3 linked regions of the Neurospora crassa OR74A genome follow. The main gene of each other region encodes a partner of the protein of the gene in region 3 in a complex. Links are inferred from orthologs where the notes say so. Each region holds a gene or a part of one and is shown on either strand. Other genes may lie near its edges.

Region 1 (7,243 bases), on a different chromosome or scaffold from region 3:
ATGACGACGATGAGAAAGAAAAAGGGCGACACCATTCTTCTTCCTGATCGGTATAAGAAAGGGGATTAGACGTACTTGATGCAGCAGCGGCATCCCTATCCCTCTCCTGTTGACCAAAGCTATAACTGTAACTGTTTTCGTAATGACTGCTTGCTTCCCCTTCTTCACTGCTGCCCGAGATGGTTGTCCAGCCTTGTTCTCTCCCTTCGGAAGATTCTCGATGTTGTTGTTGTTGTTGTTGTTGTTGTTGTTTTTGCTGAGCAGCAGAGTTAGCACCCTGAGCTGGAGTCTGTCTCTGACTACCGCCAGGTAAACCCCAACACGCCCCCTCCTCTCTTCGTTTCTTTCTTGGTTCACGACTCCGTTCTCGATTATCCTCCCGCCCGTGACCTTGACCCAGCGCCATCTCCCGATTCCTCTTCTTCAGCTGCTTACTCACCGCCCTCAATGAAGGCTGGGTCGTTTCTCTGGTTCCAGTTCCAGTCATGATCCGGTTCGGAGTAGTAGTAGTAGTGAACAGCACACGATGAGGTGTCGGGACCCGAGTCAAAGGGCTGATACTTCGCAAAGAAAGGGAATTGTCGTCATGACCGGAGGATTCATAGCCACTGTTGTTGCGTGGAAGGGAATCGAAGGAATCAAACATGGGAATCTGAGCCAAAACGGCGGATGGTGGAGGTGAGAGGCTTGGTTCTTGCTTTATTTCTGTGTCTGTTTTTGTTTCTGCTGGACATGGACCTGGACGAAGGATGTATCCTGAATGGGAGGAGGAGGTCTTGAATCTCTTTGGGGAGCGAGAATGGGGAGAGATGGGGGCGTCGGAAACTTTTTCGTCTTCGGTTTCGTCGTTTCGGTCTCTGTTGCTGCTTCGATTCTGAATTCCAGGAGGAGTCCGTCGAAGATGAACATCACCATGTTGTTCTTCCATGGTTTCCCAGGCACGTACCCTCCTTGCCTTAGCCTTAGCCCTCGAAGCAGAAGACGGTCCATCCCACCTGATGGGTTTGAACAGGCCCATCTTTGGCGTTATTGTTGGTTCCATTCCCATTCCCATCGCCGTACCCATCATCCCTGCCACCATTTCCACACCGGCATTGGCACCAACGCTAGACACCACCGACGGCACCATCATAACCCTCTCCATTACCACCCCTTCCCCCCTTTCCTCCCAAGTCTTACTACCACTGACCCCACTCTCCTCCGTCCCTAGGGGCACGTATCCCACCACACCTCCCACCACACCTCCCACCGCATCTTCTTCCACCTGCTTCATCTGTTCTCCCTGTTCTCCCTGTGGCACCCGCGGCACCCACCTCTTCACCCTCTGCTCTAACGGTATCGACACCCAAGGAACCGACTCCTCCTCCTCCTCCTCCCGCTTAATCACCACCACTGTCTCCTCACCGGAACTGAACCCGCTCATCCTCCTCCTACCACTTCTTCCTCCTTCCCTACTGAGGGGCAGTGACAGTGGAGAAGGTACCGATTTACTTGGTCCCGGCCCCATGGTCATCATCGTTGATTGCCGCTGGCGTCGATGCTCCTCGAAACCTGGTGCTGGTCGTGGTAGACTTGGTTCCAGTACCCCAGGTAAGTAATTCGAAAATGATTGCTCAACAGACCTAGACCCCACTGTCCGAGGTGGATAGGCGAGTACTGGCTCGTTGGAGAATAAAGATCGAGAAGAGCGGGAAGGATGCCGATGATGATGATGATGAAGGATGCTAGCGGCGGTGGTGGTGTTGACAGAGGAGTTGGCGTTGTAAATAAAGTCGCTTGGTGATGCGGGAGCGTAGTGGTGGTAGTCTTTTTGTTCCTCTGGTTCTGGATGACCAGGAGGAGGAGGAGGAGGAGGAGGAACATGAACAGGAGATACGGGGTTAAAGTACAGAGGGTGTTGGGGGTGGTTGAATGGGTAGTAGTCGTAGGAACTGTTGTGGTCCATGGTTCAGTTTGTTGTTGTTTGGTTCTTCTGATCCCGCTGTTTCTTCTTCTAACCAGACAACGAAGTAGGCAGGCAGGGAAGATGGAGGCAAAGCGAGGTAAGTTGAGTTTGTTTGGATAGCTGAAAGGGACGGAGTGACGGACGGCTGATTACTTATGGTAAACTGCTTTTGAAGCTGAAGGTCTGGATGAGGAGCGAAAGGATATGGAATAAATAATCGACAGGGACAAAACAATGGTAGGTATGGACATGAATTGTGACATGCACTTCTCCTGCTGCCGGTTATTAGTTCTCTTATGATCCTTTTATGGAAGTTATCACGGCAAATCGGAATGTGTCCGGCAAGCCACAAGCGGAAGTCAATGAATTGCTTTGTATGTATTGAACCTGTATTTGTTCTTGACTGTGTGTCTGATTCACACATACATATCTTGCAAAATTGGCCGGGCGGTCATGACAAACGGATAGCTCACTGTGGAGAAGTGACATGATAAGTCTCTGTACAATGGGTGAATGGACAATCAATCACTTTGGCGGATACCGGGAAGCACGGATAGGGCAGAAATCAAAGACCGGGAAAGTTACCCGCTAAACTGACATTGATGGATCTTGACTTTGAATCTGATTCATTATCAGCCATTCACTCTTGTTCCATTAACATTAGATGTTACGCTTGCTTGCTTGGCTTTTCTGCTTCCCAATGTGTGCAGCAACCCTCTTTCATCGAGGGGAAATCTAGGTGTGCCAGATGACGACTCTGCCGTCAACACCGCTCGCTGTTGTGTCAAGTTAGCATCAATAATTCTTGAAACCACAGGTCATGTAAAAATGGGGAACACTCACAACTAAACTTGGTCACCCGTCCACCACTCTCCTCAAAGGGCCTCAACATAGTAACCGTATTCTGATGCACCGTCTTCAACATGGTATCATCCTTGCTGACCTTACCCTTCAGGTCCATCTGCTTGAACATGTTCAGCGCAGACTCCTCTCTGTCCTCGTCACCAAGACCCGGTCTTCCTCCGGCCTTGGCCTTCTCCAGCGTGCCGGCCAGCTGCCACCCCTGCTCGCCGCCTTGGAAGCGGAAAGCCTCGCAATCGTAACCCGCAGCAATGATCTCAGTCTCTCCGTTCCAGAAGAGGCTCATAAAGGGCAAAAGCTGCGTGTTGATGCTGATCACCGCCTTGGGCGGCTGCTCGGGCGCAGAGGGGTAGACGACGGTGATGGAGGAGTCATGCGCCGCAAACGCCAGAGCGTCGCCGCTCGGGCTGAAGGCAACAGAATGCACCCATCCGGCAGAGTTGTTCAGGAACTCGCCGCAGACCGTGTTGAAAGGCAATCTCTCGCCCCAGGGGCTCGGCTCGGGGCGCTGGTCGGTGCCCTTGATGAAGGCGGAAAAGACGCGGGCGTGGGCGTCGGTGGAGCCGGCAGCAAGAAGAACGCTGTTGGGGTGCCAGGCGACAGAGGTGATGGTGGATCGGATCGGCTTCTTCAGGTGCTTGGATACCCACCAGTCGTTTTCCTCCTCAAAGTAGCAGATGGCGATGACGCGGTCGCCGGAGCCGACGGCGAACTTGGCTTCCGAGGGAGACCAGCGGACGAAGGTGGCGGCGCGGGAAATACGGAGGAGCACGAGGGTGGGCTTGTAGCCGGTGGGGGAGGGTTCCCAGACGAGGGCGTTGCGGTCTGTGAGTTGGGGTTGGTTGTTAGTCTAGCTGACTGTGATGGTGGCATTATGGGGTGCCTGGGTTGCGAAAGGGGGGGCCTACCCTGAGAGCAGGTCACAATACGCCCGGTGTTGGGAGCAATGTCGACGCTGGTGACAAGCTTGTCATGGCCCTTGAGCTCATCCTTGAGCTTGAAGGCATTGCCGACTCTGCCGTAGAGCTCGACCTGGGTGTCGCGGGCAATGGCCAAGGTCTGGCGATCGGCCGAGAAGGAGTGGTCGGCGATGGGGTGGTGGAAGAGATGGTGGACCTCGGGAGCAGCCATTGTGGGTTGTTAGGTTGGTGTTGTGTAGAAATAAGGTATGCGATAGGAGTATAGCTCTCTACTACCGCGCTCGGAATCGGGGACGGTGATGACGGAGAGTGTGATCGAATGTCTTGGTTCGGTGGTGTCGGAGCCGGATGTTGTAATTGGAAAGGGGAAGCTGTGCCCGGGAACGGGAAGCGGGAGAGCTCCGTAACTACAGCGGGCTGGACGCCTGAAATGAGGTCAGACCGCCAGGCTCCAGGGGCACCGTTGCGGCAGCGTATGGTGGTGGGGTTGGCTGCGGGTGGGTGACGCCGCCAAGAGTGCCCTGCTGCCGGCCGGGGCTGACCCACCTGGAACTGGAACCTACTATGGTGAGATGGGTAAGTTAAACCCGTGGATCAGGTCGTCGACCACACAGTGCTCACGAAGCTCTGGCTGTGGTGGTCCGTGCAAGATACCTGACAAGGGGGTTTTACTTTTGCTCGCAACCGCAGTACCTCCAACAAGCTGCACCCACGCCCGTGGGGTTTGTGTACCGATTTCGATGGTTCGTAGGCTGGCTGGCCACTGTCTCCAATTTTTGGACCAGCATCTGAATTGTCGACATCGCATGCGCCGCCGCGACTTGAATTCATGATTGAACACTGAACATCATACACCCGAGCGACGACGACGACGACGACGAGACAATTGACGATATTAACCCCTACCACGAGGCGCCTACGATATACTGAAAATCTACGCGACAATTAACAACCTGCATTGGACAAACAACAACAGCATCAACTCCCGGATTCCTACGCGGCAATGGCTACGCGTATTGCTCCCCCCGCGGGCCTCCCCCAAAAGGTGGTCTCGAACCCGCCAAACCAGACTCTCTACGTCACGAACCTCCCCTCAGCTAAGATCCAGAAGGACGACCTCCGTACAGCACTATACATGCTCTTCTCCACCTACGGCCCCGTCCTCGATGTCGTCGCTCTCAAGACCATGAAGATGCGCGGGCAAGCACACATTGTCTACCGGGACATTCAGACAGCAACACAGGCCATGAGGTCACTTGACGGCATGGAGTTTTTGGGCCGCAAAATGGTAGGTCTTCTCGGGTTGAATATTTCAGCGGTAGCCCTTCACATGCTAACTTGGGTTTGCCTAGAAAATCACCTACGCCAAGGGCCGCTCCAACATCATCGCCAAACTCGACGGTACTCTCGTGCCACCCAAGGCCGCCGCCGCCGTGGCCCTCACCACCGTCCAACAGAGTATCTTTAGTGCCCCAGTACCAGGCGCCCCTACTACGAATACCGAGAGTCCAGCACCACAAGGTTCGCCAGCCAAGCCTCCCGGGACGGAGACAACCACACCGGCAGAGGAGAACCGGGGAACGAAGCGGCCACGGGAGGAGGAGGAAGAAGAGGAGGAGAGCGATTCGGACGTTGCTATGGAGGAAGACAGCGACGAGGACTGATGGGTGTCCACTATGGCATTTGCTTCTTGTTTAAGATACCAGCTCGCGGTGGGGAAGGATGACGAAAAATGAAGGCGCAATGAAGCGGATGGATGAAAAATTCGCCCTCTCGAAGGACAATGCAGAAGACGCACCGCTAGCTGCATGTACAACATACACCGCGCTACTCCCACTTCCTCTAGGCGGAGGAAGGCTCCAAGGCCATTTCCTTGGGGACCCAAAGGCTGACACAGCCGCCGACGAGTCCAAGCCAAACCATCAGGTAGTTCTCGATCGAGACATTGTCAAAGGTCGACATGGCCTCGCCGAGGAGACAAGGGTGGACGAAGAAGGTGGGAAGGCCTGTGATGGGATGATACTGTTTGTATGGCCGAAATAATTCAAAAGAAGGGACATTCGTGTGTTAGTATAGGCACCTTTTTTTTTTCTCTTTCTCTCTCTTTTTGTCCTTCTCATATCTTTATGTTTCACAACAAAGTCACAAAGAGCGAGAAAAAGGAGTTCAGCCCTAGTTAACTTTTTGGTGTTTCAACAGCGAGAAGATTGAACCCACCCAAATCGCAAGACACAAATACAAAGAACGAGATGAGATGAGAAGAGAAGAGAAGAGAAAACTTACATCAGCTGAGATACCACCCACGGAACCCGCGCGGCGAAGTCCATCTTTGAACTGATCGGGTACAAGACGTCGAAAGACGGTGTCGATGTTGAAGGCTGGTTCATCCGCCGGCAGTCCGTTTAGTGAAAACCACAGACAAGGCGCTTGATATGTCGGGTGAAGGTGTATTTCGTATGTGACGTAGCCATAACTTGTCTTTTGCTGTTGTTGATGTTTAGAAGGCAAAACCATGGCCTTTTCTCCCCCAGTAAACCACATATTATCAGCATTCCACACCCACCCCCCCTTCAACCCACTGTTTTTATTAAGAAAACATACCTCATCATCATCATCATCCTCAACCTCCATCCCCTCACTCACACCAACCACACCCTCCCCCTCCCGCTCATCCCCCCTTACCGCTGCTGGCCCCTCAGAAAAACACAAATTATCCAAAAACTCGGATAAGCCATCATCATCCAGATTGACCTCGAGCGGTCTCGTGATTTGGATAAAAGTGCTGTATTCGGGATCCGAAGGAGAGACAAAGTGGGTGTTGAGCGCCGAGCGCACGCGCAGCTTCCATTGGCGCCGGAGCGGGCCGAGGGTCGCTTGGCTGTAGCGCCGGTCGAGGTGGTGGGCGGCCTCGGCGAACTCGGAGGGGGTGAGGTGGGGGTAGTTTTGGATTTCCAGGGAGTACATTTTGATCAAGAGTGTTTTCGGTAATGGTGAGGTGTGTGGTTGTGATATGGTGAGACGGTGGGCGGTCTGCTGAGTGGTGCAGTGGTGAAGGATGGGATGGGGGAGAAATTGGGACATACATATCGATGTTACCGCATGTGGAACTGGATTGTCACGGCCGGGCGGGACGGTGTTAGTGAGCGGGACGAGACGGACGGGAGAGGGTGATAAGATAAGGAAGGGGTCGTAACTCAAAGTTAGAGGTATTGTGGTTGTTCACATGTTCTTCATTTATGATCATATGCATGAAAAATATACCCTCCATGCATTCCACAATACCTCAATACATAAACGCCAACCATTACCTAGAGATGGAAGTTTGCGAGACCGCCGGGAGTAATTAATGACAGACCCAACCCTGACAGATCACCACACTCGTAACCCTGGCGAATCTGGCCCCCTGTAAGACTTGTACAAACAGCGGGGCCCCACAACTGTCGCAAGGGAACTTGACGCGTCCAAGCTCAAGCTGTCCTTTTTGGCGTCGTGTACTTGTACTGTGTACTGCGTAGTT
Region 2 (7,162 bases), on a different chromosome or scaffold from region 3:
ATTGTCAGTATGGAGATATTTAGCTAGAAGATGATGTTTTACAAGGCTTGCTAATCAAAGTTTGCGGATATGAAGACTGGCGCAATGGATGAGGGAAACGGAACGCAATCCTCGAAAAGTCGAAGTCAAGAAGTCAGGCCGGTCAAAGAAGAAGAGGGGTACTGGGCAACAACTCGACAATAAAACCGGGGGGAACGACTCGAGAGTCACATGAGTCAATGATGTGATGGTGGTGTAGCAATCAGTCAGCACAACGGATAAGTCGAGAAGCGTTGATGAGGGCACAGGTGGACGCAATGGTTCAGTTCGTAGGAAGAGTCAGGGAAGAAGCAGACGACGAGACTCGGATGGTGTTGAAGTCAATTGAAGGATTTCGTGGAAAAGGACGAAGTCTCGTCTGGGGTATGACCTAATCTAGAGGTACTGCCCTCTCCTGTGCCTGTGGGCAGTCATACGCACCTTCCCATCGACAGTTGATGACAAATTCGGCAAGGACAGCCACAGATGTCGACGCAGACGGAGAGTTGGAATTGTGTGATTGTTTACTGTGCAGTGTAGATGGTTGATGCTTCAGCGGTAATTGTTAGTGCATAACCCCCCCTGAGCAGTGAGGTTCAAAGTGGGTCCCACCCCCCAATCCATCAAGGTCCCTGGGCCTGAGCGTGGAGTCGTCTCGGTCGAGACCCATTCACGCCTCCAACGGACCCGCAGGACCCGCAACGCGCTAAGCTCTGGACTTTTCTCGCCGATTTTTTTTTTTTTCTCGGCGGCAATTGAAATTCCTCTTCGGGAATCGGAATTCCACTTTTGCAATCTTGAACCCAGCAACGAACAGGATTGCGAACCAGGCAATTCAAGATGCACCATTCAGTAATTAAGCCCAACAGCTGGGTAGCCCTCAAGCTGCCCTCCGGTGTTACCAGAGTTATCCAGGTCACTCCTAATACGTACGTCAACCGAGAACAATGGCGGCTTCAAAGTAAACAAAACATGGTGAGATGCTGATATGCCTTCATCGCACCACCAGATCGATCTCCCTTGGAAAATACGGCACCTTCCCCGCCAACCTAATCCTCGAACGCCCATACTACCTTACCTTTGAGGTCCAAGACAAGCTTCCCGAAGAAAGCTTTTCCCGCCTCCGAGTCGTCCCCCCTTCCGAACTTTACGCCGATGTCTTCGCCGAAGAGGACGCCGAATGCGCCAACCCCGCTGCCGGTCCTGGTTCGAACAATGACGCCGTCATTGCCACCGCCGCTGGCGAAGAATTCAGCTTAGTCGATGCCGAGAGCGGCAACGTCATTGCGCGGTCTACCCAAGAAGTTATCGACGAGAACGCCCGCCAGAAGCTGACACAAGCGGAAATCGAGGAGTTGAAGCGCGACGGGACCAACGCCGGCAAGGACGTCATCGCCAAACTTCTCTTGTCGCATGCTGCTCTCGACCAGAAGACTAGTTTCAGTTTGTCCAAGTACAAGCTGTTGAAGACGAAGAAGTACATCAGGAGGTTCCAGGTCCTGCCCATCGACGTTCCCACCTTTTCCAACTGGCAGCTGGAGGAGAGAGATGCTAGCAAGATCTTGGACATTCGCGCCGAGATGATGGGTTTGGTCGGTTGCTGGGGTAACGTTCACTATGGCGGTGCGGACGTCTTCCTGGAGGATCCCAAGGCGACAACAGAACAAGGAGAGGAGGCTCTTGCACCCTTGCAAGAGGACTTGCTGGCTGGAAGGTGGCTAGTTGTCGATGATACCGGTGGTCTATTAGTCGCAGCCATGGCCGAGCGCATGGGTGTTCTCTACAAGGAAGATGACGAGACCGAGGAAGCGGCGGAAGAGGAGGAAGCCACAGAAAAGGCCGAGGAAGAGACGGAACCAAAACAGGAATCTGACACGACCAGCCAAAAAGACACGGAAATGATTGACGGACAACAGCAAGCAGCAACATCAGAGACAACAACTCTTCCCCGACACCCCAAGCGCCCGCGTGACAACAAGCCGCGCGACTCCGATTTCGCCGTTCCCTTTTCGCAAACCAACACCATCACCGTCCTTCACGGCGCCAGCCAACCGAACCTTTCATTCCTCAACTACTGGAACTTCGATGTCACCGCCCCACAACACCCGCCGCACCCGCTACTGAACCACCTTCTCACGCTCAGCTGGCTGCAGCTCCTCAAGCCCGAACTCGACACCTCGTACTCGACCCCTCCCCTCACTGCCGATCCCGAGACCTTGAGCACCTGGAAGCCCAGCCGCCGCGGCAACTTCCACCGCAAGCGCAGACGCTACGCCCGCGTTCGCCACATTGTCGACAGCACGCGCGCCGGCAACTTCTCCGGCCTCGTCTGCGCCAGCACCATGGACCCGATCTCGATCCTCAAGCACGCCCTTCCCCTCTTGGCCGGCGGCGCCCCCGTGGCCATCTACTCCCCTTCTCTCGAGCCTCTCGCGACACTAGCCGATTGCTTCAGCGTTGCCAGGAGGACGGCGTGGAACAGCGGACACGTGGCGGAGATCCAGGGCAAGACGGCCGAAGAGCTGGAAAAGTGGGAGGGAAGCGAGCAGTTCCCTCTCAACCCCACGCTGTTACTGGGCACAAGCATCCAGACTAGCAGGGCGAGGAGGTGGCAGGTGTTGCCGGGCAGGACGCATCCGTTGATGACGGAGCGCGGTGGTGCGGATGGATATATCTTTACTGGATGGAGAGCGAAGCCAGCGGAGGGCAAGATTGCGGCCAAGGGCAAATTTAAGAGGAGAAAGGTGGAGGAGAGCGTTTCGACGCCGGCTTCGGCATGAGTGGATTGGTCGGAAAGAGTTATTTATGGGAGTTCAAGGATGCCACTTCTCTCCCCGTGCATCGGAAGATCTCACACAGAGGTTTCCACGGAAGCAATGAGGTCGAGGGAAAGTCAGAAAGGAAAAGACAGTTAGAGCGTTTCGAGGCTCGCTTACAGTAGGTGGACTCGACCAGCCGAGGAGGAGTGGAGGCGACCATGGGTTTAAATGATTATGCTTTGTCCATGAAAGGCGGGCAAACAATGAGCAGGAGTCTGATAGTGGTAGCAGTTAGGAGAACCAGCATGACCGATATGCATAGATCTCGTTTGCTCTTAGATACCATTTGCACGAAATAGAGCTGCAGTAATTCTACTAATCGAACGTCAACTGGAGATATAACCCATGTCGCTCATGATCGGGTTTCAAGTGTATGTGTACTCGATCTATGCCTGATCGAACCGGACCACGCAAAAACAACAACAACTGAAAGTCTTGCTCGCTCGCCCCAACACACCCTCACACTCTAGGAAACTTGAAATATTATTTGTGTAGAGTACGTATTATACTTTGGCGCTAAACGATTCCATGCAACGCCATCTGAACAGGGAAGGCATCGCATCAGAGTCCCTTGCCCATGAACTTCCTCTTGGTAAAGCTCAACCACCACTTGCTCGGCTTGTCCTCGGTCTCGTCGTCGTACACGCGCGCCAATAACCTCTGCGCCAGTTCCTGCCGGACCTGCGACAGGTACTGACGGAGGACTTCTGCGTCTTGACGGTCGCGGGGGGGTTCATACATCTGTTTTGCGTCAAACTTATTAGCTGCCATCCATTTTCTTGTTCACCGCCGCGGGCCACATCTACTCCCATCACATTCACCGTATTCTATCTCCGCCCTAAATCCTTTACGCCAAAAAAACTCACCTGATTCAAAGGCCACCCAGGATCGCCCGGCAACGCAAAGTTCACATCCAGCGCCGCATTGTTCACTTCCTTCGTCGCCTCCCTAACGCCATAGTGCGGCTTGATGCGGCCCAGACAGTCGCTGATGTACCAGATGCCGTAGACCAGCAGGCGGTCGGCGGGGCCCTGGATCTCAAAGTTGCGGAAAAAGGTGTTGGCGCGGAAGAGAGCTAGCGTCTCGTCCAGAATGTCGTATGACTCCGAGTCCGGGTCGGGCGACTCGTTGGCGGCGAGCGGAGGGTCCGGGAAGGGGAGAGGGTAGATCGGCCCGCGGATCTTGGTGCGAAGCGGGAAGAGAGGGAAGTTGCCGATTAGGCGGGGGGAGGGGTCGGCGTTGAAGACGGAGTTGTAGGCCTAGAGAGTGGCGTCGTTAGTTGAGAGATTGAGAATGGGAATTTGTGTGTGAGGTGAGGCGAGAGGCGAAGAAATGCGATTGGGCGCAAAGCGGTTCGTGGTGTTGTGGGTGGTGGTGATGCGATCATGGACGAAGCTTTGTCTGACGATTAAGGGGTAGCTGGCTGGCTGGCTGGTATAGCTTGGGGAAGCTATACGCATAGCGGCTGGGTGTTGGGAGCTTGCGAATGGGTGCGCTTACCGGCATTGTGACGGTTGGTGTCAAGCTCCCTCTATGAAGCTATTACCAGATTAAGCAAATGGTGTTCAAGTTGGAAGTTAGGTAAATCTGGGATGTCGTGTTGACTTGACCGCGTCCGGGTTCTATGGCGCAGCCTTGCGGGGTGATGGGGTCAATTGGACTTGGGCTGGCCTTCCTGGACCTGCAGCGTGCCAGCGATGGGCGATGGCGGCTTCTCCTGCGCTGACGTCGAGCTGGCGGTGACGACCGCTGCTTGCACCGTGCCGCTGTGACGGACTCTGTGACAGTAGAGCTGGACTTGGTCTGTGCGTTACCTTTCTATTTGAATTTGTGGCTCAGCAGTGGCTGTGTCCGGACTCCGGATGAGGCCTGGTACAGTCAATGAAGCACTCCCGGTTCCCATCACGTGTAGAGTTACCGGAGCCGGCCTCGTCATCGGACAGGCAGCAGCTCGCTTGACTCCGATAAAGTGGATCTTTGCGGCCTGAAGTGGAGCCACCTAGTCCCGGGGGAATCGGAAGGTCTTGCACAATGCATCATCTGAAGGAGGAGAGCGAATGTGAACAAGTCAAAATGCCACTCCATTGGTATACAGAGGAAGATTCAGTTACACAAAGACTCTTCACGTGTCATGTAGTCAGCCACCGCGTTCGACGTGAGCGCCCGCTTTCCATGCAACTTAAGCTGCTGTGTCTCGGAATCCAGACAAAGAGCAGGACTCCATGCTCAAGATGGTGTTCCAAGGATCCATCCCATCATTACTCATTATGGCGGAATTTTTCAAGGAAGAAGATTGACCGAGGTTCACGCCGTGGTCGAGTCCAACAACCTGGAAGAGAGCCAACACCTGAATGTTGGTTGGATAGGACGAAGTTCAACACCGTGAACGCCGCGCTGCGCCCACCGCTGCCTGTTTGAACAACAGGGGGGCCCGTCGTCAAGGAGAGAGGAGAAGACTCAGAAAGCAGAAACATTGAAGAAACAAGAGGGGATGCCAAGACAATAAGTCACGGGAGCTCGTGTGCTAGCGCGTCGTAGATGATGAAATCAGCCAGCAGTCCAGACTTGGCTGGCTGTTGTTGGCGCAATTGTTCATCCGACGCAAATCCGGCCGGGGACTGCCACACACCCGACAGGCACACCACCAGTCGAGAGCGCTACTACGCTGCTTAGAGGTACTGTGATAGTAGTGTACGCACCAACGCGGAATCAAAAGCGCCGTCGTGCGCCGTCCACTGAGAAAGGGTGATGGAGGGGTATTTGGGGTTCTCCAGTCCCATCACATCACTCACTGCGTCACGGTTCTCTCCTCTACCTACAACTGCCTTCTTCAATCGTTCATTAAAACCAGCCCTCCGCTTCTTCACGCCCAAAGACAAACACAAGAACCCGGACAAACCCCTCCCACTTTTTTGAACTAGGAGGCAAACTTTGATCCTAGTGCTTTTTCCCCCCTCTTTACGGTGACTCAGTCGTTACCAGCGCGACTTGTTTTGGATCGCTTTTCTCCATTCCTCAAACCAAAACAAAACATCATTCCAAGCACCATTCGTTTTCAGGTGAGTTGCTTGCATGTTTTACCGGCGCTGCGAATTTGGTGTGATTTCACCTGTGTTTTGTGCGTGGGGCTGACTTGGATCAACAGAAAAAGGGGACCCCAGAAAAAGGGAACGTGCACTGCAGTGGACGCGCGCATCACTCCCTCCACAAAACGCTCTGCCGATCCGCCCTAGCAGAGCTGTCGCATCCACTCACTGCACTGCGCTCCGCCCATTGAATAGGTCAACAAAAGAAGACGACCTACCTACCTACGGACCAGGAACACTCTCCCCCCTTCGAGATAGTTCCCGTCCACTTGCTTCTTTCATGACCGCATTTGAGTACGTCCAGTCCCGCTTCATTTTGCGACTTCGCTCTTTTTTCTTCTTTCATCATATCATCGCGGCAACACTTCTTATTTCTCAAGACGACCATTCGTTCTGGCAATAGCTGCATCGCGCCAACGTTACATCCACATTACAACAACCTGGAACTACATAGCTGACGCGCGCCTCCAATCCCGGCTTCTTTTGTCTTCAGGTCCCTCATTTCTGGCAGTGGCACCTTGTTTGGACAACTGCGCGCCATGATAGAGGTAGCCATGTCAGCCTCACGCGACATAGCCGGCCCATCGCCGGGCCCTACACAACAACCCCCGGCCTCAGCCTCCGAAATTCACAGCCCCGCCTTCAGCAGCCAAAGTACCGATGCATCGACGTCATCGCCGCCGCGCCGGAAACGGACCAACCCAAAGAAACGAAAGGTTCCCCGGGTATACCGCCCCGATGAAGGCTCTATATACGACATAATGCACGACAATTCTGGCAAATCGCTTTACGTTCTTCCCATTTGCTGGACAGATCTCCATGCCACGCTCCTTGGCGCATCGTTCACCGAAGGTGCCCCTATTGTCACGCCGGTACCGGAATCTATTCATGGGCAATGGCTCGATCCTTCGCTCCTTGCGCGCCAGCTCACCGACCAACTTCACACCCTTATCAGGAACGAACCGTCCATGACACGAGTATTTTGCAAAAACATGGCCATGAAGAACGCAATGGGCATCTTTTTCCCGGATAGGCTAGCAAACCCCAAGATGAACGCCGAGCTTGACATTTACTTTGGCCAGCGCGTCTTCCGGAAGGCGGTGCGCATCCCGTGCCTGTGGAAGACACCCATCGGCAGTTCATTCGCAACAATACCCACGGTCCCAAACGACTCCTTTTACGTACCCAACAGCCCGCAGGAGCCGCAGCCTGAAATACCCCAGCAGACACCCAACATGC
Region 3 (7,621 bases):
AAGGGCGAAGTCACTTTGTTGGCGAGAGATATCCTTTCTGCAACCGTAATTGCAATATTATTAGCGAAGCCTTTTCATTGATAAGTCCGAATTGCGCCGCCTTACGGGCCGTGTGGTACATACATTGATATGTGCTGGGCGTGTAAACAATTTAATTCATCGTGGACTGCGAAAACGAGGAAATGGAGGAGTACTAATGCATCACTAAACTCCGCCACGCCATGAGTCACGAAGAAATAGGGTACGATAGATAATATTATCATTGAGAAGCTCAAGGGGATCGATTAGGGTAGGTCAGGTTCCACAACATTCCTTTGAGGTTCTTCCACTTAGTCTCGCGGTTCTAAAGGGTATTACGTAGGGTATCATCAGCTCATGAACGCCGTTCCCTCTAAGCCCGCCTATGAATGCCGTTGAATCCACGCCTTCTATGCCGAGCTCCGAATTCGTTGAAGACAATTCCAAGCAAGAACGTGGAAGCCTTAGCCAAACGAAAAGCCACTAAGCGAGTAATTCTAAGAGTAATAGTCGCCAGCAAATAACTTGGATCAATCAATCCGAATCCTACGTCCACCCTGAGCCACCGGCCCAATCTCTCCAAGCCTCGACATCACAACACTCGGCTCTCGTTCCGTTGATGCCATGCTAGCCAATGCAAAAGAATCAGTGTTGTGTGCAAAGTAAAAGTAGTACCCCGTCCGATCTTTCTTGACAGTCATGACTCCGATTGCACCCGCCGACGGTTGGTTCTTGACGCCCGGATGGCCCATGAAATCGTCCAGGATGAAGGCCTCTAGCAGCGCATGCTCATCTAGCTCCGATATGCTGTGTCCTCCAAAGCCGCGGCGGCTGCTTTCAAACAGACGCTCTGCACATTTTGCTGAGGCGATCGAGGTAGCCATGTGCTCACCTGTACCACTGGTGACGGCGGCTACCGATGTGCCTGTGTGGTCGTCAGAATCCTCAGGGATCACGGCCGTTCCGATTCCGACGAGAGCAGCAGGACCGATGCGACCGCGGTGCTTTATGCCGATGCCGCCGGAAGAGGAACCTGCGGCGATGCGCCCCTTTAGGTCTATGGCAATTGCGCCGACGGTGTCGGTTATCAGATCTTCGTCCTCCTTTTGCTTCGGTGCATTCGAAAACATCGGGTCGCTGATCTGGGCGGGCGAAAGTGAGTGTTCCTCCGATTGGTTCTCCATGGTGTTCAGACTCTGGTTGTGGTCTTCCTTTACGCTCACAAACCCATCATGAGTTGACAATGACGGAGATCGTCTCGGGGTTTCCCCAGTAGCCGGGAAATAGCCAATATCTTCACTGTGACTGTGACGTACCACTGCCCTCTTCATGGCGGCTGGGCTTCCAGTACTGGCGCGTGACTGAAAAGCACCTGACACGTAATTCATGGCAGCTCGATCGACTGGCTTGCTTCCGTTGGTGAGACTTCTCTGAGGTGGGCGAGGTATGGCTGAAGGGACACTTCCAAGTGATCCATTTTCACCCAGTAAAGGGGACCCTCTACCATATGGTGAGTCGGGTTGGCCTTCGTTCCATATCCCAGTCAAAATCGCACTCGAGTGGTCCCGTCGCAAAGTCGACGCGTTTAGCGTTTCCGCCGCTTTTTCGTAGTCACTCGGTGTCGGCGACGGGCGATGTGTCTCTAGGTTTCTCAGAGACACTTGTGAGATGTGAGAGGAGTTACTACTTTGAGTAATCTGTCTTGCTTCCGCCTTTTTCAAGTCCTCTTTCCAGCGGAGAAAACGATCCTTTGCGTTCTTGGAAATGAGGTATTCGTTTGGTACGGTAGCCATCCCGTGTTCTTCGGCAAAGTCCCTAGCTCCGAGGCCCACGAGAATATTCGGCGGTACTCTTCGGAGGGAAAGAGGCTGACTACTTTTGTCCAGAATTAACTTGGCAAGCGAGATGGGGTTTTTGATGCCTGCATATGTCAACGAGTGTCAGCATGTCGTTTCTGGCCGCTCATATGTGGCACTGTCGGTTTGGGCGTACCCGAAACAGCGCCACAAGCACCACTCCTCCCCAGATGGTCGACTACAGTTGCGTCACATTCGACAACTCCATCCATGTTGAGATTACTTCCGAAGCCGGCATTCGTAATCTCTTTGTCCTCCAAACACCTGATAGCAGCTTCGACAGCCTCGGGGGCAGAAGCACCGGCTTTCAGAAACCTCATGGCGACACGGGAGGCTCTAGTTACAACCGCATCAGCAAGGGATCACCTGATGACTCTTGACTCAACTTACTCGCTGCATGCTTCCAAGTGAACCTTTTCATTCGTAATGCTATGGTACCCTGCACCTGCGTGGACAAAGATTGCCGCAACTGGCTTCGTCGTACGCTTCCATATCCTTTCGACACCACCGTCCAATCCGTATTCATGATCACCAGACCAGTTTGACTCTGAGGAGCTGTCCGACATGTCCATATCTGATTCAGGTGACCCATGGCCGGGCTCGGCATTTTTGCTGCTCATCGTGGGCGCAGCTGTGATAGAACGACTCGAGGAGATAGTCGAAGCAGCGTGTGATCTGGCGAGGTCGAGTTGTCTGGTAATCGAGCATGTGTCTTTCAAGCGAGTCTGTATTCTGAGGGCACATAGAGTCCTTAGTTTTGGTGTGTCATGGGTGACTTTTGTGCCTTGGGACAAAGATGGGCGAAAAGACTTATCGAGGCAAGGGCGAAGAGTTGGAGAAGATCGGAACGGGTGGATGAGATGAAAAGGGTGGTCGGACTTGGTGTCCCTCGTAAAAGCAACCTGCTAAAACAATGAATGGGAATAATGCTCGGTAGTGATAATGTCTTGAGGGGTATTTGAGATTGGAGCGATGCCCAATGAGCTAGATGATGCACTCAGGGTGGCCCGAGGGGTGAAGAGTCCCTTTGGATACAGTAGGTGGGCGGGATGAAGATGTGTGAAGGCAAAGGTGGCAAAATACAGAATACGACAGAGAGAGAGAGACGGAGAGAGAGACGAAACGGAATGTGGACACTGGACAGGTTGATGATTCGTTGTGATAAGTGAGAAGCTGTGAGTGTGTGTAGCTTCTCCGCAAAGTGGACTTGCTTCGAGAGGATGAAGCTGAAATGAATCCGACAGAAATGGCAGGTGTGAGGGAATCTGGCTGGAGGTGATTTTCCATTCAGTATCTCCTTCCTTCTTAGAAGGACACATCCTGTCTGGCTGGCCTTGTCGCTACAGTTTTGATACCGATCGGCCCCACTTTTTCCTAGCCATCATCGTCCGGGCCCGGGCCGTGTGCTTCAAACTCCGATGCTTGGGACCGGGGCATCGGTTAGGTTTCGGGGGGCTCGGATGGCGCGCAGGTGGCAGCGAGGTGTTTGGTTCCGTCATCTCCAGTTATGGCGTAGGTCCCGTCGCTGGAAATGCACAACTGACTAAATGGACCGCCGTACCATACGGGGACCTCGCGGTCTTGGCGCACAGCCGCACAGGTACCTCCACAGTACCACGCAGCGCTGTCAGCCAGACGAGTAAGGAGAGCTAGCTCGGCCAGGCACGTACAATCTTGGACATCAACCTCCATTTCCCGCCTGGCCTATCCACTACCCATCCACGCTCCCGCCCCGTCACTTCATCCATCACCAACTAACAACAGCCGTTGCTTTACCAAACCGCAATCATCACGAGCTGCGCGTAGCAGCACACCACCGCAACAATGGCCAACACAACCCCCGCCGTTGTCATGGACAAGTACGTGCATCCAAGTGTCCCGTCTCCACCCCGCCCGCTCCTTAACAGCTCCGGGGCCGTCATCGCTAACATCCCCTAACCAGCGGCACGGGGTTCTCCAAGCTAGGTTCGCGACTCCGACACCCCAAGATATCCAATGACCACCGATTGACCAAGCTCTTCGTCGTCTGCAGGTTTCGCCGGCAATGATTCCCCCTCGTTCGTATTCCCGACGGCCATCGCGACCAAAAGCCCCTCGGCAGGCACCGGCGGCTCGGGCTCTGGCCGCCCCGCCGTAGCCAACAAGCCATCCTTCCTCACCGGCGGCGCGGGTCCAGGTGGCCATCTCTCAGCAAAGCGCGGAACCGAAGACCTCGACTACTTTATCGGCGACGAGGCCGTAGCGGCCGCCAATGGACCTGGTACGTTGGTCTACACCGCCTCAACGGAAATGGGTGCTGACGGTGTTAGGCTACGGGTTGCACTATCCCATCAGACACGGACAGATCGAGAACTGGGTGCGTTCAGGCTGCTAGATGGCATGTCACAAATGCCTAGAGCTAACTGGAGCTTAGGATCACATGGAAAGGTTCTGGTCCAACTCCATCTTCAAGTATCTGAGAGTAGAGCCTGAGGACCACCACTTCCTCCTCACTGAGCCCGTAAGACTACACTTTCCAAGCCACATCAGTACTACGTCTGCAGCACTGACACGTCGATTCAGCCTCTCAACCCTCCCGAGAACCGCGAAAACACCGCCGAGATCTTCTTCGAATCCTTCAACTGCGCCGGTCTCTACATTGCCGTCCAGGCCGTTCTGGCCCTTGCGGCTTCCTGGACATCATCCAAGGTCCAGGACAGATCCTTGACCGGTACTGTCATTGATTCGGGTGATGGTGTGACACACGTTATCCCGGTCGCCGAAGGTTACGTTATCGGCTCGTCCATCAAGTCGATCCCTATTGCCGGTCGCGATATCACCTACTTTGTCCAGTCGCTTCTCCGTGACCGCGGCGAGCCCGATTCGTCCCTCAAGACGGCCCAGGAGATCAAGGAGGAGTACTGCTACGTCTGTCCGGATATTGTCAAGGAGTTTGCCAAGTACGACCGCGATCGCAGCCGATTCCTGAAGCACACCATTACCCAGCCCGGTGGCCGCCAAGTTACGGTTGATGTTGGCTACGAGCGTTTCATGGCGCCCGAAATCTTCTTCAACCCCGAGATTTACTCGTCCGATTTCCTTACGCCCCTGCCCGTGGTTGTTGATGGTGTCATTCAGTCTTCGCCCATCGATGTCCGTCGTGGTCTCTACAAGAACATTGTTCTTTCGGGTGGCAGCACGCTCTACAAGGACTTTGGTCGCAGGCTACAGCGCGATATCAAGCAGCTTGTCGATACGCGAATCAAGGCCAGCGAGGTGCGCAGCGGTGGAGCAAAGAGCGGTGGTCTTGATGTCCAGGTTATCACCCACAAAAGGCAACGGCACGGCCCGTGGTTTGGTGGTAGCTTGCTCGGTCAGACGCCCGAGTTCCGGTCGTACTGCCACACCAAGGCAGAGGTATGTTTCTTTACCCTTTTACCATTGGCAGTCTGGTTGCTGACGGATCTTTACAGTACCAAGAATATGGACCCAGCATCGTGCGCAGGTTCGCTCTGCTCGGAGGACCTGGTGGATCTTAAGCGTAGTTATTTGTGTACAGGAGCGAGTCCGCATCTTATTTGGCAGGCAGCGGGCGCCGATGCTTATATAATGGCGATGAATAGAAAAGAGGAACTACTTAATGCTAGTGAAGTTGGGTCAGCGTAGACGGCCAATGTGTCTGTTGTTGTGTTGATGTTTAGGAATCCGTTGCGCAGAGCAACGGTCCCCTTAAAAGGGGGGCTTAATGGTACCGATCGGCTGGTTCCGGAGGCGGCGTGCCAAGCCATTGACGGCATTCACTGTAACTCTCGGTAAGCAAGGATGTGTCAGCACCACGACCACCGGTTCGCGCCGGGTGGCCTGATATGGCCCGACAGTTCTGGAACTGGCCGAACTCCCATCGGGCAAGCTAACCGATAGCTTCGCATCAGTTTCACAACTTGCTGATTTTTCTCTTCATTTTTTCAATGTTGTTCCTATTCTCAGCCCATTGATTAGATTCTAATCAGGACTGGGCTCGATTGTCATGTTGAAAGATGTTGCCTGACATGCTCGGACGTCACCTCACAGTAAACCGACCGTGTTCCCAGAGAGCATTCACAGTTTGGAGGGTTCAGTGATCAGATTGCTTACTTTGCGCCGGGCAAGGAGCAAAAGGTTATGCAACTTTCTGCATGCCTTCATAGAGGTCGGTACCATAGGTATGGGTAGGTAGGGTAGGTAGTACGACAAGAATGCGGGGAAGAAGCTTCGTCGCTGAAACCAGGGGTTCCAGACCGTCCTTTGGTGGCTTACAAGCCAAGCCTCCTCGTCACCTGCACCGGCTAAGTTTGCTGTTTTGAGGCTTCTTCGCTCGAGCGGAAGTTGACTTTTATTTTTTCCTTTTGTTTTCCTTCGTGTTTGCTGGAAACGATAATTGATCCATACTATTTCCATCAGCCTCCGTTTCAGCTTTACCACCAACCCAACCAGCGTTGACAAAGGCGCGGGGAAAGGGTGAGCCACGACGTCCACGAGATCTTCGACGAGGAGGTGGAGGAGGAGGAGAAGGAGGAGGAGTGGTTGGCACAGGTTTCAATGTGTAGCGTATGTAGTGGTGGGTTCGAGACAGTGGCTTCCACTTCGGTGGAGCGGAAAGTCGTTTATGTATAGGTACGCAGTACACTACACCACACTAGAAAGTGTGGGGGTGGAACATGACGGCGGGGTCTCGGATCGGACCCGCGCGCTGTCAACGACTTTAGTTAGTTTAGGCAAACACCGTATCCAAGACTGTACTCGGATCCAAGGTGCCGACCACCGGGTGTTTGGTTCTGCGACAAACAGTGAGGTTGATGAGAAAGTTCCCACAAAAATAAGCAGGGACGGTGAGATTTCGGCCGCTCCATAATGACTGGCAAAAGCGTCTCATAAACCACGAGATGGGACCAGAACCTCAGGTGCTTCACGGCATTGTTGACATGATGAGCGGGAAAAGGGCCGTTTCCATGTGGCGCCTCACGAGAACAACCTAACGATGGTCCGGGCGACACTAGCCGGGCTCCGCTGAGGCTGGATAGGGCGGGCTGTCCCCCAACGGGCACCCCCGCTGTCATCACTCGACTCAGCGCTCCCGCCAGTTCCACACTCACTGAAGCTAACATAGGTCTCATCCCAGCCTCCATCTCTTCAGTTACATCACTCGTGCCCAAGTTGGGACGATCGCGCTCGACATGCGCCAAGAGCCCACGATTTCCCCCAGTCCTCCTTTTAGCTTTCTCCTCTTTTGCACATCAACACCGGGGGACCTTCACTATGCTAATAGCTTAGTGCATGATCAGCTTCATCTAACAAGAGCTCGTGACCTTGTTTGCTTCCAACTGTTGGCGTCCGAGTGCCAGCTCCCCCGCATTTTGTATGTACAGTTGACAGAAGCGGAGATCTCCCCTCTTGGCTTCTCAATTTCTCTCTAAACCTTCGGAAACCTTGAACCGGCCGATGCAGCAACTCCATTGAAGCTTCCCTTGGATCAATCAAGCTGCTGACGGGGACTGGATGGGGGGGCTTGAGAGGGGTATCCACCGGGCTGATGGAAAAGGGCAGACAATGGGCGATTGGCCAGTGGGAGCTCCCCGTACCGTCACATCCTCTACGTCCCGCCTCGCCCATCGACATCATACGTTTTCTCTCGTCCATCTACACACACCAAGACTCTAACCCTCCAGTTGAGGGTCTCGGCCCCTGCCTCGCCAGACGTCCGACTTGTCTTCCCACCGAGCCACCACTAG

What was found.
Region 1: arp-3 (region 3) and NCU02781 share a complex: the UniProt entries of both Saccharomyces cerevisiae proteins name them as parts of the arp2/3 complex. The link is inferred for Neurospora crassa OR74A from reciprocal best matches to the Saccharomyces cerevisiae genes ARP3 and ARC40.
Region 2: arp-3 (region 3) and NCU09572 share a complex: the UniProt entries of both Saccharomyces cerevisiae proteins name them as parts of the arp2/3 complex. The link is inferred for Neurospora crassa OR74A from reciprocal best matches to the Saccharomyces cerevisiae genes ARP3 and ARC18.

The regions. Positions count from the first base shown.
Region 1 is NC_026501.1:9,214,148-9,221,390, forward strand, and holds NCU02781 (hypothetical protein), read right to left. Parts: upstream 4,162-7,243; 5' UTR 3,938-4,161; coding exon 3,715-3,937; intron 3,632-3,714; coding exon 2,789-3,631; intron 2,722-2,788; coding exon 2,681-2,721; 3' UTR 2,390-2,680; downstream 1-2,389. Other genes in the region: NCU02782 (hypothetical protein), read right to left, coding at 1-1,945; NCU02780 (U2 small nuclear ribonucleoprotein B), read left to right, coding at 4,730-5,014, 5,079-5,390; NCU02779 (hypothetical protein), read right to left, coding at 5,569-5,748, 6,010-6,243, 6,328-6,690. UniProt on the Saccharomyces cerevisiae protein: Functions as a component of the Arp2/3 complex which is involved in regulation of actin polymerization and together with an activating nucleation-promoting factor (NPF) mediates the formation of branched actin networks.
Region 2 is NC_026507.1:961,949-969,110, reverse strand, and holds NCU09572 (ARP2/3 complex 21 kDa subunit), read right to left. Parts: upstream 4,598-7,162; 5' UTR 4,344-4,597; coding exon 4,338-4,343; intron 4,097-4,337; coding exon 3,704-4,096; intron 3,579-3,703; coding exon 3,399-3,578; 3' UTR 3,064-3,398; downstream 1-3,063. Other genes in the region: NCU09570 (glutathione transferase), read right to left, coding at 1-2; NCU09571 (tRNA (adenine-N(1)-)-methyltransferase non-catalytic subunit trm6), read left to right, coding at 859-947, 1,028-2,798; NCU09573 (hypothetical protein), read left to right, coding at 6,204-6,217, 6,417-7,162. UniProt on the Saccharomyces cerevisiae protein: Functions as a component of the Arp2/3 complex which is involved in regulation of actin polymerization and together with an activating nucleation-promoting factor (NPF) mediates the formation of branched actin networks.
Region 3 is NC_026502.1:2,532,521-2,540,141, forward strand, and holds arp-3 (actin), read left to right. Parts: upstream 1-3,506; 5' UTR 3,507-3,698; coding exon 3,699-3,733; intron 3,734-3,816; coding exon 3,817-3,839; intron 3,840-3,906; coding exon 3,907-4,134; intron 4,135-4,183; coding exon 4,184-4,230; intron 4,231-4,287; coding exon 4,288-4,374; intron 4,375-4,436; coding exon 4,437-5,270; intron 5,271-5,326; coding exon 5,327-5,392; 3' UTR 5,393-5,554; downstream 5,555-7,621. Other genes in the region: NCU01758 (YdiU domain-containing protein), read left to right, coding at 1-1; NCU01757 (asparaginase), read right to left, coding at 549-1,939, 2,011-2,210, 2,265-2,494. UniProt on the Saccharomyces cerevisiae protein: Functions as ATP-binding component of the Arp2/3 complex which is involved in regulation of actin polymerization and together with an activating nucleation-promoting factor (NPF) mediates the formation of branched actin networks.